Tamandua tetradactyla: one gene and its partner. The main gene of each other region encodes a partner of the protein of the gene in region 2 in a complex. Links are inferred from orthologs where the notes say so. Each region holds a gene or a part of one and is shown on either strand. Other genes may lie near its edges.

Region 1 (7,345 bases), on a different chromosome or scaffold from region 2:
AACAAATATACAAATAGATAAAGCCCGGCCTCCCCCCGTGGGAACACAATCATACAGAATTACTGATATATGCTGAATACACAAATCACATCTATATATAAACATATGATGCCAGATGCATGCACTGTGTTCAAATACACATACACATGCAAACAACCTCCTGACCCTCAGGGACTCACCTTACCCATCCCAGAGTGTGCATGTCCCATCTTCACAACCACAGGGTACGTTGTACTGCTGAGCTGAGTAGGGTGAAAAGACAGAGGAGGTCCAATCAGGGTAGGAGGGCCCTGTGCCAGGGGCAAGAGTGGTGCGCAGGGGAACCCATCCAGTGGGAACAATGTAATGGGCCATTTCCCAGAAGAGGCAGGTCAGAGACAGGCAGACAGCAGCTAGGGGTCACACAGTGCCCTTCGAGTTGGGAATTGAACCCAGAGCCCTGCCTGCCTACCCCTCCTCCCACCACCCCCAAGTCTCCAGACTTCCTGCCCATGCTTTCCCAGGAAGAAGCATGGGATAAAAGTGGGGGACTTTCCGGAAAGGGAAAGTTTGTTTTCACAGTGGGTGAATGATGGGGAGGTGAGTGTGTGTGCATGTGTGTATAGGGGTGTGGTGGTGAGCATGTGGCAACTGGACCCCACAGCTAGGCCTTGCATGCAAGCCTTGTTCCCCACCCACACAGCCTAGAGCTACACACATTCAGAACTACACAACCAAAATCAGAGATGCCCACGCACATTGAGACACGAGATTGAGAGACCCACAACCAACACAGGCTCCAAAGCACACCTAACCTCTCAGGACACCCACAACAGTCATTCATCCAGCCACATGCTCAGCACGGGAAAGTGACCAGCCTTTTTGGCCTGCCTCCTTACCCAGCAACACACACGCAACACTCCTGGACTCACAATCAACACTTTGGGGTACAGACACAACACTGCCCCCCTCCTCTCGCCTAACCACATAACAATCAGAGGGACTCACACGATAACCCAGGCAACACAGAAACAATCCTCAGGGGCACAGCCAAAGGATACAAAGGCACATACAGCTCTGACAGGCACAGATACAAAATTGGACACATCTTCACTCACAGGCACACATATCACACCCTCAGGTACCTGCAAAACAAACAGAAGGACCTGCACAACAGAGGTACACACACATAATTCTAGGTGTTCACATAGCCGCTGCAATCCACACCACACTCCTGGACACTAAAAGTATATTTGGACGCACACAGCATGCCTTGCCATATACACAACACAGAGAGGCATACAAATGGTCAGGGACATCCCCAGTACTCCTAAGTACAAAGCTAGCACTCTTGGGTGTGTGCACACAACATTCCTAAAGCGCATGTGCACGCGCGCGCATTCACATACACATACTCGGGTGTGGGGGACACCTCAAGTCTCCCCAGGCCCTGGGCGGGATAGAAGGGATGGGGTTGGATGATCCCAGCCCTGCCATAGCATGTATGCTATGCAGGGTCTCTCTTCACGCCCCTCCTGCTGTGGAGACCAGTGTCTGACAGGGTAGAGAGATGCCATTCCCGGAGGGGATGCTGGGGCGGAGGCAGTTCCCAGTTCCCGACAAGCACAGGAAGCCCGCAGGCTCAGAGTGACCGACTGACCTTCAGACCTCACCCTCCCTCTGCCTCACCTCCCCCCCACTCCACGTTCCTCATTTCCCAAATGACTGACGTCATTATGGGGGGGGGGGGGTAGTGCTGAGAGGCTCAGTGTTGGGATGGGGTATTCCGGGTCCTCTAGGTAGCTTGCCAGGGAAACAATGCAGAGGCATGCACATGATGTAACCCTGAGGCATACACCCAGCACACAGAGAGGGAATCAAACTTTCACAATTACATAGACAACACAGATACAAAGGCAGAAACACAACTCCCAGAAGCAACAGAACACACAGGGATATACAAAACACTCAGGTAGGCATGTGACTCTCAGAAACAGACACATAAGTCTCAGAAGCACACACACAACTTTCTTAAGCACACATACAACTCTGAGGCACACATAATTCTTAGAAGCACATGCACAATTCTCAGAGGCACACACACACACTCTCAGAGGCACACTCAACTCTCAGAGGCACACACACAACTCTCAGAGGCACATACACAGAAGTCTGAGAAGCACACAGTGTTAGAGGCTGAAACATACCAGACGGCTACTCACACACATGCACACACCCCAAGGTTTCTAGATCCTTCTTTTCAAAAACAGCCCTTGTTTCCTCTGAACCTGAACACAAGACTGTGTATATGTGCCTTCACATGTGTGTGCATGAATGGACCTTTAGATCTGGGGTCCTCCTGGAGAGTTCTCAAATCTTGGCCTCTCTTCTTCCTAAGGCCATGTAGGATCCCAAGAAAGTCACTTAACCCCTCTCTGTGCCTCAGTTTCCTGATCTGTACAAAGGACATAGTCAAACCCAAGCTCTTGTTATGTTGTGGGGATTGTTGAGTGTTAGCTGTGCAGCCACCAGCTGGACATCAAGGGCCCCCACCCCCATCCGGCTCCTCAGATTATCCAACACCCAGACACCCTGCTACAAAACTTCACTGATTTCACAATGTGTGTGATAACCCAGACCAACACAGCCCCTCACATCTAAGTAGCAAACTGTGCTGACGTACGTTTCACAGAAACAGAACTAGGGTCAGCGAGGGGCTGCAGCAGAAATTTCCCTTCCCTCACTTCTCCCTCAGTCACGCTACTGACTTACTCAACCCCATCTCATTCACTTTTACTACCCCCAGGCACTCATCCACTTTCACAGCTAGCTTCTCCAAGGTCTTGGTTTACTGCCGCCTCTCCTGCCCTTCAAGAAAGTAATTTCTTCATTCATTTCTAGGAAGGTCACTCAGCCCCTTTGTGTCTCAGTTTCTTCATCTAACTCACTGGAATGTTGCTGAAGAATAAATTCGTTATTTCCAGTGTAGGGGAGGGGAATTTAGCCCAGTATCTGGCTGGCATAAAGAAAGTCTCAATCGTCAACCAATGTTGGACATTGTTATTATTATTAGTTTAATATCCCTTCATAACCAGCATTCTTTAACAAGGTAATCTAATTGGGATTGACTGAATGAGATAATGAACATACAAAGACTTTGAAAGGATGCTTGATACCTAGTAATCTCGAACTGTGAAGGCTAGTTGATGTCATCCTCCTTACTATTGGTCTAGGTGCCCTGAGTTAATCTAGTTTAATTAGCAAAGGGGGAATGGAGATTAAATAAAATAATTTACACAAAGACTTTAGGGCACAGTATACAGTAAGTGCTCAATAAGTGGCGGCTATTAGCACTATCATCTTCGTTATTATTGGTCTACTGTCCCTGAATTAACCAGGGATGTTAACCAGCTCTCAGGCCCCCAGAACCCCAGGGAAGATTCAGGCATTATCTGGAGGCTGGTGGGCAGTGATTGCCTCACCTCATGCCCCACCAGGGCTGTGGGAGGGTTGGTGGGGAAGGGGCAGGGCAGGATGGGGTGGGGATCAGTTTTCTACTGACTCACTGGCCTCTTTCACCACATTCTACTCTCTCCCTCCATTCCCTCCTTGCCAGGACTGTGCCCCGCCTGGGTTAAGAGCCTGGTGCTAGTGAGCTAGTTCAAATCCCAGCCATAACTTGTGACTCTGAGAAGGTTCTTCAGTCCTTTCTATGCCTCATAGTTTCTCATCTGTAAAATGGGAATACTACAAATACTATCTGAATTTTAAACGAGATAAACTAGGCTGACTGCCTGGCAAACAGTAGTTGCCATATAAATGCTGGCTATTTGCCTATGTTTTTTGAGGGTGGGTTAAGACCCAGCTCAGTGAAATCCCAATTCTCCCCCTAATGAATTCTGTGATCTTGGATAAGTCACTTAACCACTCTGTGCTTCAGTTTCTCCACCTTGTATTCCTCCAAGTCCCTTATCTCCTTCACTGCTTTGACTTGATTGGTTTCTCTCCGCCTCCCCTGCTCTTCACCAGAATGTCAGGAAAGGGTTTTCTGTGCATGTGCTTGGCACACAGTAGGTGCACAATAATAAATGCTTGTTGAAGGAATAAACTAATTAGGATTTCAGCCATCCCTGTGGCTGAGGAATGTGGAAGGGGTCTGGAAATTTGAGAGGACTTGGAGGAATCCTGCCTCTAAGCGCTCCATTGAGCCTGCTCGAAAGGACTGGTGCTCCACGTGGAAATGGGGGAGGGGGAAGGCTAGGGCCTGAGGCCCCGGGGGGAGGGAGAGGAGGAGGGTGCAGCCCCTTTTCCGCAGCCCAGCGGCCCGCCCCTTGGCCTCTGCAGTGATGGTGGGCGGATGAGTAATGCATCCAGGAAGCCTGGACGCCTGTGGTTTCCGCGCCGTTGCCACCCCCGCCCCTCGCACGGGCATTTATCCTGTACCGCTCAGACCCTGCCGCCATCTCCGCAGACCCATCGCCTAGAGAGACACCAGAGGTAGGCAAGGGGCCTGGGTGGCACTGCAGAGCCTGGGGCTGGGCGGGAGCTTAAACGGCAACCAGGTCTGTCCATTTCTGTGACCACGGTCTGGCTGTGGGCATCAGGATCCTGGGCTGGTCAAGGGAGAAAAGGGTGGAAGGAACTGATCCTCTACCCACACCCCCTCCCAAAACTCTCTCTACCCCTTATATCCATACCTGTGACCCCTTAATACCACAAACTCCTCCCAACCTACCAACTCCCCTAAATTCCTCCAGTTCCCATTTCCCAAACTTGTCAAACTTCAACCCCCTAAATCTGAAAACTTCCTCTACCCCCAAATCCCCCAAGCACTCTACCCCCTTCACCCCCCAAACTCCGTCAATTCCCTAAATCCCCAACCTCCAAATTCTTTAACCTTCCTAAACCTTAAACTTCCCTAGCCACCTATACCTCTCAAAGTCTACAGCCTCTAAATAATTCCCAACCTCCCCCAAACTCCTCCAGCCCCCAAACCCCAAATTCCTTACCTCCAAATTCTCCCAATTCCCCTAAATCCTCAAATTCCCCTAGTCCCCTTAAACTCTGCAGCCCTCTAATCCCCCAATTCACCAGAACTTCACAGCCCCCTAAACTCTCCCAACCCGCTAAACTTCTTTGAGTCCTCCACATCCCCAAGCCCCTTAAAATCCTCCAAATCCTCCTCCAGGACGTACTGGGGTAGATTGGGGTAGGAAGCCTGCCCAGGCCAGCAGATCAGTTAGGCTGGGAGCCTACTGACCTCCCCTCCCCTCCCTTCCCCTCCCCTCCCCTCCCACAGAACACATCATGGCCCCCTGCACATCCCTGGCCTCTGGTATCCTGTTGTTGCTGTGGCTGATAGTCCCCAGCAGAGCCTGCACCTGTGCCGCACTCCACCCGCAGACAGCCTTCTGCACCTCGGACCTTGGTGAGTGTGCACCCCATGCTGCCCATACACTCCATGTTTCTGTTCCCTCTTAGTCTGATTAGGTTGACAGTGGCACACCCAGCTGAAGAACAAGATTCCACCCATCCTTCCACTTACTCTGCTCTAGCCACACTGGTCTCCTCCCACTTACGTGAGTACACCAGGCTCAGTCCCACCTCAGGGCCCTTATACTGGCTGCTCCCTCTGCCTGGTACACCCTTCCCTCCGGGTATCCATATGGGTGACTGCCTCAAATGTCACCTTCTCAGGGCAGCCTTCCCTGACTGCCCTATTTAAAAATTTAGCCCCTGCTCCCTAGTACTCCTGAACAGCCCCCCTCCCCCACCTCTGGAATTCTCTACCACACTTAATACCTTCCAACATCCCATATACTTATTTATTTTGCTTGTTTCTAGTCTGTCTCCCCCCTTGGCTAGCATGTGAACTCCACAAGGGAAGGGATTTTTGTGTTTTGTTCACTGTTGTGTCCCTACCACCCAGAACAGTGCTTGGCACAGAGTGGGTGCTCCAAAATATTTGTGGGGAAAATGACAAAGGGATATATGAACAAGGCTTAGAGCAGTGCCTGGCAAAGAGTAGGCTGTCAATATTCGGATGGATCCATTAACCGGATGGATCCATTAACAAAGGCATAAAGCGCTAGTGTGCTGTTGGCCAGTCAGTAATCCCTATTTAAGAATGTGCTCTGCTAGTTTTATTATTGTGATTATTTAATTTTTATTGTCTGCGTGCCGTCCATTTGACTCCTTTCCCTTTTCTCCTGCAGTCATCCGGGCCAAGTTCGTAGGGCCCGCAGAAATCAACCAGACCTCCCTACACCAGCGTTATGAAATCAAGATGACCAAGGTATTCCTCCTACCCGTTCCCCAGCAATTCCTAACATCTACCTCCCCATCAAAATAGAAGCCTGAGGCTACAGGTCGAGGAGGAAGTTGGCTGTGATCTCAGGATGTTGTAGGACTTCAGCAGAACATGGAGCGGGAGATTATATCAGTAAAACAGAGATTTTTCCCTTCATCCATCAACAGATGTTCAAAGGGTTCGATGCCTTGGGGGATGCTCCTGATATCCGGTTCATCTACACTCCAGCCATGGAGAGCGTCTGCGGATACTTCCACCGGTCCCAGAACCGAAGCCAGGAGTTTCTCATCGCTGGTGAGGTCCCTCCCTGTGCCACGCCAACCCATAGCTCGGACGTTGCCTAGCAACCGCGGGGAGGGGGAGCGAGGTTTTCAAAGATCCCAGTTGAAACGGGGACCGCCCTAATTTCAGCCTATCAGAAGGCAGGGGCTTTCGTGCACGAGGGACGCCAATCAGGCGCCGCCCTTGCCCTGGGCCAGCCAATCAGAAGCTTCCTGTTGACTCTCTCCCTCTGCCCGTTCCAGGACGCCTGCAGGAGGGAGGCTTGTACATCACTACCTGCAGCTTCGTGGTTCCCTGGAGCAGTCTGAGCTTTGCTCAGCGCCGGGGCTTCACCAAGGCCTACTCTGCTGGCTGTGAGGAGTGCACAGTGAGTGCTTGGGCCCTGCTGTCATCCTGGAGATAGTTCCTTGGGCTCGTCCCCAAACCCTGGGATTGTTTCTTACTCCTCTGGCGACTTCTTATCCCTAAGGCTGCTCCCCAAATCCTAGGACCTTCCCTGATCTCTCGCTATTCCCCCAAACTTGAGGCTATTTCCTTGGAAATTCTGATTGTTCCCTTGCCCTGTGTCTGATACCTTGGGATTGGCTGTTCCCTGTTCTTCCCACTCTTTCTTGCGACTTTTCTCCAGTCCCTCTGTCTGTCCCAACCTTCTGGATTCCCTGGAATGTTCTCCAAGAACCCCAAGTGCTATTCCTCAAATCCACTGATTGTATTCTAGCACATCTGATTGTTGCTCTGCTCTACAACCTTGACTTTCCTGACACAAGGGACTGT
Region 2 (7,044 bases):
ATTCGATCTTACAGAGAAATGTTGCCCTGGAGTAAAATATATAATAATATGCTATTTGTCTTTCTTTTCTGCAAGGAGAAGTAGCACAAAATTAGAATCACTTATATGGAAATTCAAAAATTTCCTTTACATAGCAACTTTCCTTTGTATATGTAAAGTTGAAAAAATAAACTGATGCCTGGCAGGTTGTTTGGGAAATGACTTCTGCAATTAAAGAAAAACAATGACTTGCTAGAATTTGAACATTCTTTTACTGATTGATAAATGTGCTACACCCACTTACTGGGGTTTAAATTAAAACACATGTGTAGAATTCTGACTGCCTTTGTAACATGTGTAGATATGTGTAGATATACTAAATCCCCATGGTACATTTTGTGAAGCATTACAAAGCATATTCTTGAAGTGTTGAGAAATCTCACTGCTGCTTGGGATACTAGCACCCCTGAAGTAATTTACAACTCCTTTGCAAAAGCTAGTCTTGGAACCAGTGACTGTTCAAATGAACAGAGCAGGATACATGATAAATCTGACTGGAATGAGCTACCCCAAATTCAAATGTTGGAGGTTTGTAGGTATTGATGTCACGTCAGCTCGCTCTGCTGATGTGGAATTTCAAAGAGCAGACTCCCTTAACATAGGTCTATTATGAGTAGAGAGGAATGGGAAGAAAAGTTGCCAAAGTCGAAACATCTCTGGAGAAAAGAAGCATGAATAGCACTGACCATCAGTGATTGGTGATAAACTGCAATCTTTGGAATGATTTTGTTTCCAGAGCACCCAAATCACTAAATATGTTTGGAACTATGGAAGAACTGTTGGGATTCAATCCAATGTTAAACAGAAAGAGAGAAAAGGGTTGTTTTAGATATGACTAAAGTTCTATGGGATTTGTGTCCCTTATTTAGCTCACCCAAGTCTTTCTAAGAATGAATTCTTAGTCCAGGCTCTGCTTCTTATTAGTTTTGTAATCTCTGACAACCAGTGGATTCCTTTCCTGGAAGGAAAGTTGACTGGATAAGATGAATTCTATCTGAATTGTCAGTTCTACAACGTCAGGTGTGAGAGCTTGCAGGAACGGAATTGGCAACTGCAACTTCTATAAACTCAAACTATCTATATCATGAATTACAGAGAAGGAGGCTCTATTTTTCAAGAGCTTGATGTTACCACACTTTTGAATTTGAAAATTAAAAAGACAACTGTTTAATTGGTACTCATACACTTTAGTGTACAGCTCCAGAAAGAAACACTTTCCTTGGAAAGCACCCAATATTTTTTGATAACTGTACATATTAAATATTACCTGGATAAAATATGCTAAATAAAGTCAGATAATTAAAAAAAAAAAAAGTAACTCTGCTATTTCCCAAGTAGACTCTCAACTCAATTGACTCTACATTGTTGTTTATTCTGTTCCTGGATTGTCCTTCCCATCCAAATCATTCCAGGCTCAATTCTGCCAATTTATCATGGGTTTTTGGAAAGAAAACACCTTTTTTTCTGCTTAATTCCTATACAAATTCTCACTTTATGCCTTATAAAATAAGTTATGCAGGGATCATCTCCTCTACTCCTTCCTTCCCCTACCTTCATGGTCCCTTCTTTCCTGCTTCCCATCTAACCCTTCCTTCCTTTTAATCTTTCCTTTCTAAATAGTTAATTTCTTGAAATTTCTCTTTTAGATTTTATCTCCAAATCCACAATCTTCACTTAGATATTTTTAAGCATGTAAGACTCAGACACTCAATAAATGAATGCATATCTGAAAGAATGATAATATCAACCGGAGGAAGCAATGATCAGACTTTGTCTTGTCTGATTAGTCATGGAGAAGCAAGATAAACATGGAGACGAATGTGAAAAGTTGTCCCATTGAATGTTGCCTGGACTAACTGCCAGTTTTTGAATCTAAGTTTTGATCTGATAAATTTTAATTTTAATTTAATTCGAGCCCTCTAGATTCCTGGGAAGTCAAACTTATAAAACCAACCATTATCTGTTTTCTGTATATATTCAGCCACCAAAGCACAGGGATGTTCTATGGAACATTTTCATTTCTGTGAAAACCCAATTTTTTAAATCTAGTGTTCATAGCTCTCCTCTACATTGGGTATATTTACTCTTTCTCTCTTCCTCTCTTTCCTTCTTCTGTTCTTTTCCTTTCCTTCTCTCCTCACTCCTGTTTTTTCCCCTTCTTCCCTTCCTCTCTTTCTCTTTCCTTTCCTTGTTCCACTAAATGACTCTTTAATTTACCTATTCTTTCTCTAATGCATTGCCCTTTTAAATTTTGACTTCAAAATACAATCTACTTCTTGCATTATCAGTAAACTCCCTGGTTCTATAATCTTGGTTTGGATATCCTGAAGAGATATGAATGAGGATTTTGAGTATATAAATCTTCAATTCATTCTTGTACTACAGAGACTTACGAAGACAGCGTGAATCTTTTTCTATGGAAATAAAACATTGTAAGAATTCAGTTGTTAGGATATTTGGAAAATATGATATGCAAAATCTGGGAATTTAGAAACATCTGCATGATTTGTGAAATTTTTTAAACTTTTCATTCACATTTATGATTTTTGCTTTAAGCCTTGCATTCATAATTAACATATTATGTGAGCAATTTTGGGGTACCTACTATATGTCAGGTACTATGGTAAGTACTAAGAGTATAGAAATAAAGAGAAAAATACATATCTTCAAGAAGCATTAGTAAAATAGGAAGACATAAATAAAGCTATCACACTACACTTTCAGTATGAAAAACACAACAGCAGAGGCATATATAAGACACCATTGAATAAAATAACTTCTCAGAAAAAGTCTTTGAAGTTATTTTAAAAGCTGACATGTGGGCCATGCTCCATGCTACAGTGCAGACTTTTTACCCAACAAGTGACAAGATGACTTGGCCAGCTTAGTGCACAGCCAAGCCTCAACACATGTCTGATCTTCAGGTCTCAGGACGTTTTGCCCTTCCGAAAACAAAAAAGCAAAAAAGGCAAAAAACAAAGTGTAGTGATCAGGGAAGGAGGTTTGGAGGTGGTAGTTGTAATAAGAATTGTAAAATGTTTAACACAATTTTTTCATCTGTGAATGGTTAGGGTCTTTCCTGTGAGCATTTATCACAAGCCAATGAAATGAATCATACTCTACTTGAACAGAAGGGAAGAAAAGGGAAGAGAAAGCAAGGAAAATGTCGAGTGAGCATGGGGAAAGAATTTAGGATGGCTTTTCTCTTCTAATTTCAACACCTACTAATTTGAATTTAGGGAGGAGGAAATGAGATTGAAAGAGATAAGAAAAATAGAAGATAAAGACAGAAGAGCATTTTGCTTCACTGAGCACTTATTTCATTTCAATTCTATGAGGGAATTGATGTAGTAGCTATTATGGGTTTATTACTCATTAATAAACTTGGTACAGAATTAAAGACAAAAGAATGGACACATCTCTTTCTTCATCATAAACCCTCTTTACCCTATCCTACCTTTGAATATTTCCTCCTCCAAAACTAGCAAATCCAAGCAAAATATCAATAGCAGGTTTTCAAAGCAAAGACAGAGTGTAATAGTATACAGCATAGACAATCGCTTTTCATCTTCCTATGTAATATTACATTGTATTTAATTTTTAAAGTGCTCTTAAATAAACTGCATTTCCAAGTTCTGCACAATTCTTTTTACCAAGTCATCCTGTTTCTCCTCTCATACACACAAACATAAATTGTCTAGTAAATTCCAGTGATTTTTTTTTTCCCCTAGAGTGAAAAAAAAATCCCAGTTTTCTCCTTTACCAGAACAGGAAGCATTTCCTGGAGATTAATCACTGTTTTGCCTGGCAAAATTGGAAAGGTTGAGAGAAATTAGTAAAGTAGGTTATATCATTCTACTTGAATTCAGAATTTTTGGAAATGGTCCTGCTGTCAGTTGGATGAAAAAATCATGAGTCAAGTTGTGGGTGATCTAAGCAAACACTGTCACTCTATAAAAGTTGGTCTTCAGAGGGTGGACTTAGAAGGAGGCAGGCAGAGAACGAGGTGTTAAGACAACGTAGAGCTGAGGAAGACCAGTGGAAATGAAGACGCTTCCAGTCCTGCTGCTGCTGTGGGTAGCAGTGTGCTCAGCCTATCCTCTAGGTGGAGCAACCAAGGATGAAGACACCAGCATGGATCTTGTTCAGGTAATTGTGGAGGCAGCTGTCACACCCACCGGAAGGGCCATCTGATGAAATTATCTCTTGCCCATCTTTAAAACCTACACAGGATGCGTCTAGCTTATGGTGTAGAATAGTTCAGGGATATAGGATAATACAATGTTGGATGAGGAAAGATCTCAGAATCACATTGTCCAGGCTCCTTCTTTTAGGTAGGAAGAAATGAAGGCCAGAAATGTTAGGTGTGGTGTCTGGATCACACAGTGCTCTATAGCAGCAGCATCTGACTTGAGACACATGAATAAATGGAGAGGTTATGAAACATCTCTTGCCTTGGACCTTCTTTAGGTATTTTGATACTCAAATGTAATTTTAGCTAAATACTTATATGGCTAGCATATATTTAGGCAAAAGGACTTGTCTTACTTTTTTCTTAAGCCAGATACTTGTGAGCAGTATAAAGGAGAAAATTGAGGAAAGTGAGTAAATTTACCTGAAATATACAATTAAGCCAAAAGAGGTTTCCTTTATAGGTCTTATTTCCTTTAAGTGAGCTGGATGTTTGCCCCTCTTTTCCATTTCACGTTCACTGCAACACAGAGGGGAAGCAGGCTTTAATTGAGGGCATGAAGGGGAGGCTTTACTTGAAGAAATCAATGGAAATATTATATTTATTGATGTTTCAACAAGCTAGAGGAATGTTTCAAATAAATGAAGAATATGAGCAATTGTCCAAATTATCATGAAGACAAGCAAAAAAAGAATAACCTAAAATTATACTTATTCCATTAGCAATACCTTGAAAAGTACTACAATCTTACAAAAGATGTGAGGCAGTTTGTTAGAAGAAAGGACAGTGGTCCTGTTGTGAAAAAAATTGAAGAAATGCAGAAGTTCCTTGGATTGGAGGTGACGGGGAGGCTGGACTCCAACACGCTGGAGGTGATGGCCAAGCCCAGGTGTGGAGTTCCTGACGTTGGTCAATTCGATACCTTTCCCGGAGTCCCAAAGTGGAGGAAAACTCACCTCACTTACAGGTAACGGGACCAAAGAGATTTTCACATAATATCAAAACTTTGTAAGTTACTATCACTGGAGAAAATGTTTTCCTCTTACAGGATTGTGAAATATACATTGGATCTTCCAAGGGAGGCTATTGATTCGGCCATAGAGAAGGCTCTGAAAGTCTGGGAGGAGGTCACTCCTCTCACATTCTCCAGGGTGAATGAAGGAGAGGCTGACATAATGATCTCTTTTGCAGTTAAAGGTAAAAAACATAAAATGTATCTATTTGTTTGGTGTTGTTTTATTGGAAAAGGTTAAAAATAAAATCCTAATTATCTACCTGTCCAATAATTTTTTTCCCTGTCTAGAACATGGAGATTTTTTCCCTTTCGATGGTCCTGGAAAAGTTTTGGCCCATGCCTACCCACCCGGCCCGGGATTTTACGGAGATGCTCACTTTGATGATGATGAACAGTGGACAGAGGATAAAGTAGGTGAGTTAAGCACCCCTCAGGATGATTTTGACATTAATTTGTTTTTATATTTGGAAAACCATAACCATGAATGCTCAAGAAATGATTGCTCTGGATTTTCCAATGGGTAAGGGAGCATCAGAATTTTAATTTTAATTGTTACTGAAAATACTTTCAGATCTCTAAGGAGTTTATTTCCTGACTTGGTAAGCACTATATAAGAAGAAAAATTGCGTCTTTCTTTGATGATCATGGACCCGGGGGATCTTAGCGCCATTGTTATTAAGGGCAATTTCTCATTATGTTGAATTTAATTTATCCAACGGATAGTGTATTACATTAAATCTACACTGACCCTAAGATGTACCCGTGATATTTTTTGTGTATTTTCCCCTTTACTTCTTTCCTCTTCAAAACAGAAATCAGAAACTGAGGTTCCCTTTTAGGTTATTCTGGTTAAATCACATTTTACTCTTCAAAGTTAAGCAGTGTTTTCATGGATTTTTAATGAAGATTAACCCCCAAATATGTTGTCAAACTGTTCAGGTAAAAGATTGTTTCTCAGTTCATAATGTAGACTTTGAGGAAGGATTTCCAAAGCATTCAAACAAATAATGCTCTTTCTAAGATTTGGTTGGGATTTATAATGGAAATGCAAACAGAGTCTCCATGGAGAATACAAATGTGAAGTTAGTGCTGGATAAAATTATTGGTTTGATTGAATCAAAACTTCTTCCCTCAAAGTCTCAATTGAGAACTTTCCTAGGGTCATGGGTAACACGCATAACACTTACAAAGTAGATTTACTTGCTGTGTCAATCATAATTACACAATTCTTTCTAATTTCACTATTATATTGTTTTTTGGTTCTTCTCATTGTTTTAAAATCTGAGTACAGCCACTGTTTGTGTGGCCAAAATAGTTCTTTTTTTTAATGTGTGAGAAATGTGAGACATGACTGGGCATGTTATGTTTTAAACCAGTTTTTTTTATCCTATGCATCAATCATTGTTAATCTTTTTGGACTCAACATGTATTTAATAATGATGATGAGTCTGAAAAATCAGGCAGGGCAAGATCCTAATGGAAAGTAAGATAAGAATCCTTGTTTAAGGATTTCAGATTGAAATGTACAAACCGTGATTCAGTATTCCTACCCTGAGACAGTGTTTGGCTTTATATTTTAATTGACATATGAAAAGAAATATTATTGATATGCTGAATAATTGAGTTCCTTCTACTCCTGAATATAAGAAAAGGGATCTGGTTCTTGAGAACCAGTAGGCTTCTGAGACTTGCAGTGGGAAAGTGGGAGTAGGATGGTTGGGTGGAAGTGAGGGCAGAATAGGATGTAGCTGGAAACTTTATCTCAAAGACCGATTTCAAATATAAGTCCTGAGAAACA

What was found. The genes of interacting proteins can lie anywhere in the genome.
Region 1: the proteins of stromelysin-1-like (region 2) and TIMP1 are in contact, whole or in part, in a crystal structure (PDB 1UEA), measured with the Homo sapiens proteins. The link is inferred for Tamandua tetradactyla from reciprocal best matches to the Homo sapiens genes MMP3 and TIMP1. Residues at the interface, in NP_002413.1 of Homo sapiens: Phe100, Thr102, Phe103, Phe171, Tyr172, Gly178, Asn179, Val180, Leu181, Ala182, His183, Ala184, Tyr185, Ala186, Thr207, Thr208, Gly209, Thr210, Val215, His218, Glu219, His222, Phe227, His228, Tyr237, Pro238, Leu239, Tyr240, His241, Ser242; in NP_003245.1 of Homo sapiens: Cys24, Thr25, Cys26, Val27, Pro28, Pro29, Val52, Thr56, Leu57, Tyr58, Pro87, Ala88, Met89, Glu90, Ser91, Val92, Cys93, Thr121, Cys122, Leu156, Ser157, Pro159, Gln173, Leu174, Gly177, Glu179.

What each region holds. Positions count from the first base shown.
Region 1 is NC_135353.1:122,544,339-122,551,683, reverse strand, and holds the start of TIMP1 (metalloproteinase inhibitor 1), read left to right. Parts: upstream 1-4,323; 5' UTR 4,324-4,476; intron 4,477-5,278; 5' UTR 5,279-5,286; coding exon 5,287-5,407; intron 5,408-6,194; coding exon 6,195-6,274; intron 6,275-6,456; coding exon 6,457-6,583; intron 6,584-6,813; coding exon 6,814-6,938; intron 6,939-7,345. Other genes in the region: SYN1 (synapsin-1), read right to left, coding at 180-242. UniProt on the Homo sapiens protein: Metalloproteinase inhibitor that functions by forming one to one complexes with target metalloproteinases, such as collagenases, and irreversibly inactivates them by binding to their catalytic zinc cofactor.
Region 2 is NC_135334.1:39,309,370-39,316,413, forward strand, and holds the start of stromelysin-1-like, read left to right. Parts: upstream 1-4,036; 5' UTR 4,037-4,083; coding exon 4,084-4,188; intron 4,189-4,953; coding exon 4,954-5,198; intron 5,199-5,279; coding exon 5,280-5,428; intron 5,429-5,534; coding exon 5,535-5,660; intron 5,661-7,044. UniProt on the Homo sapiens protein: Metalloproteinase with a rather broad substrate specificity that can degrade fibronectin, laminin, gelatins of type I, III, IV, and V; collagens III, IV, X, and IX, and cartilage proteoglycans.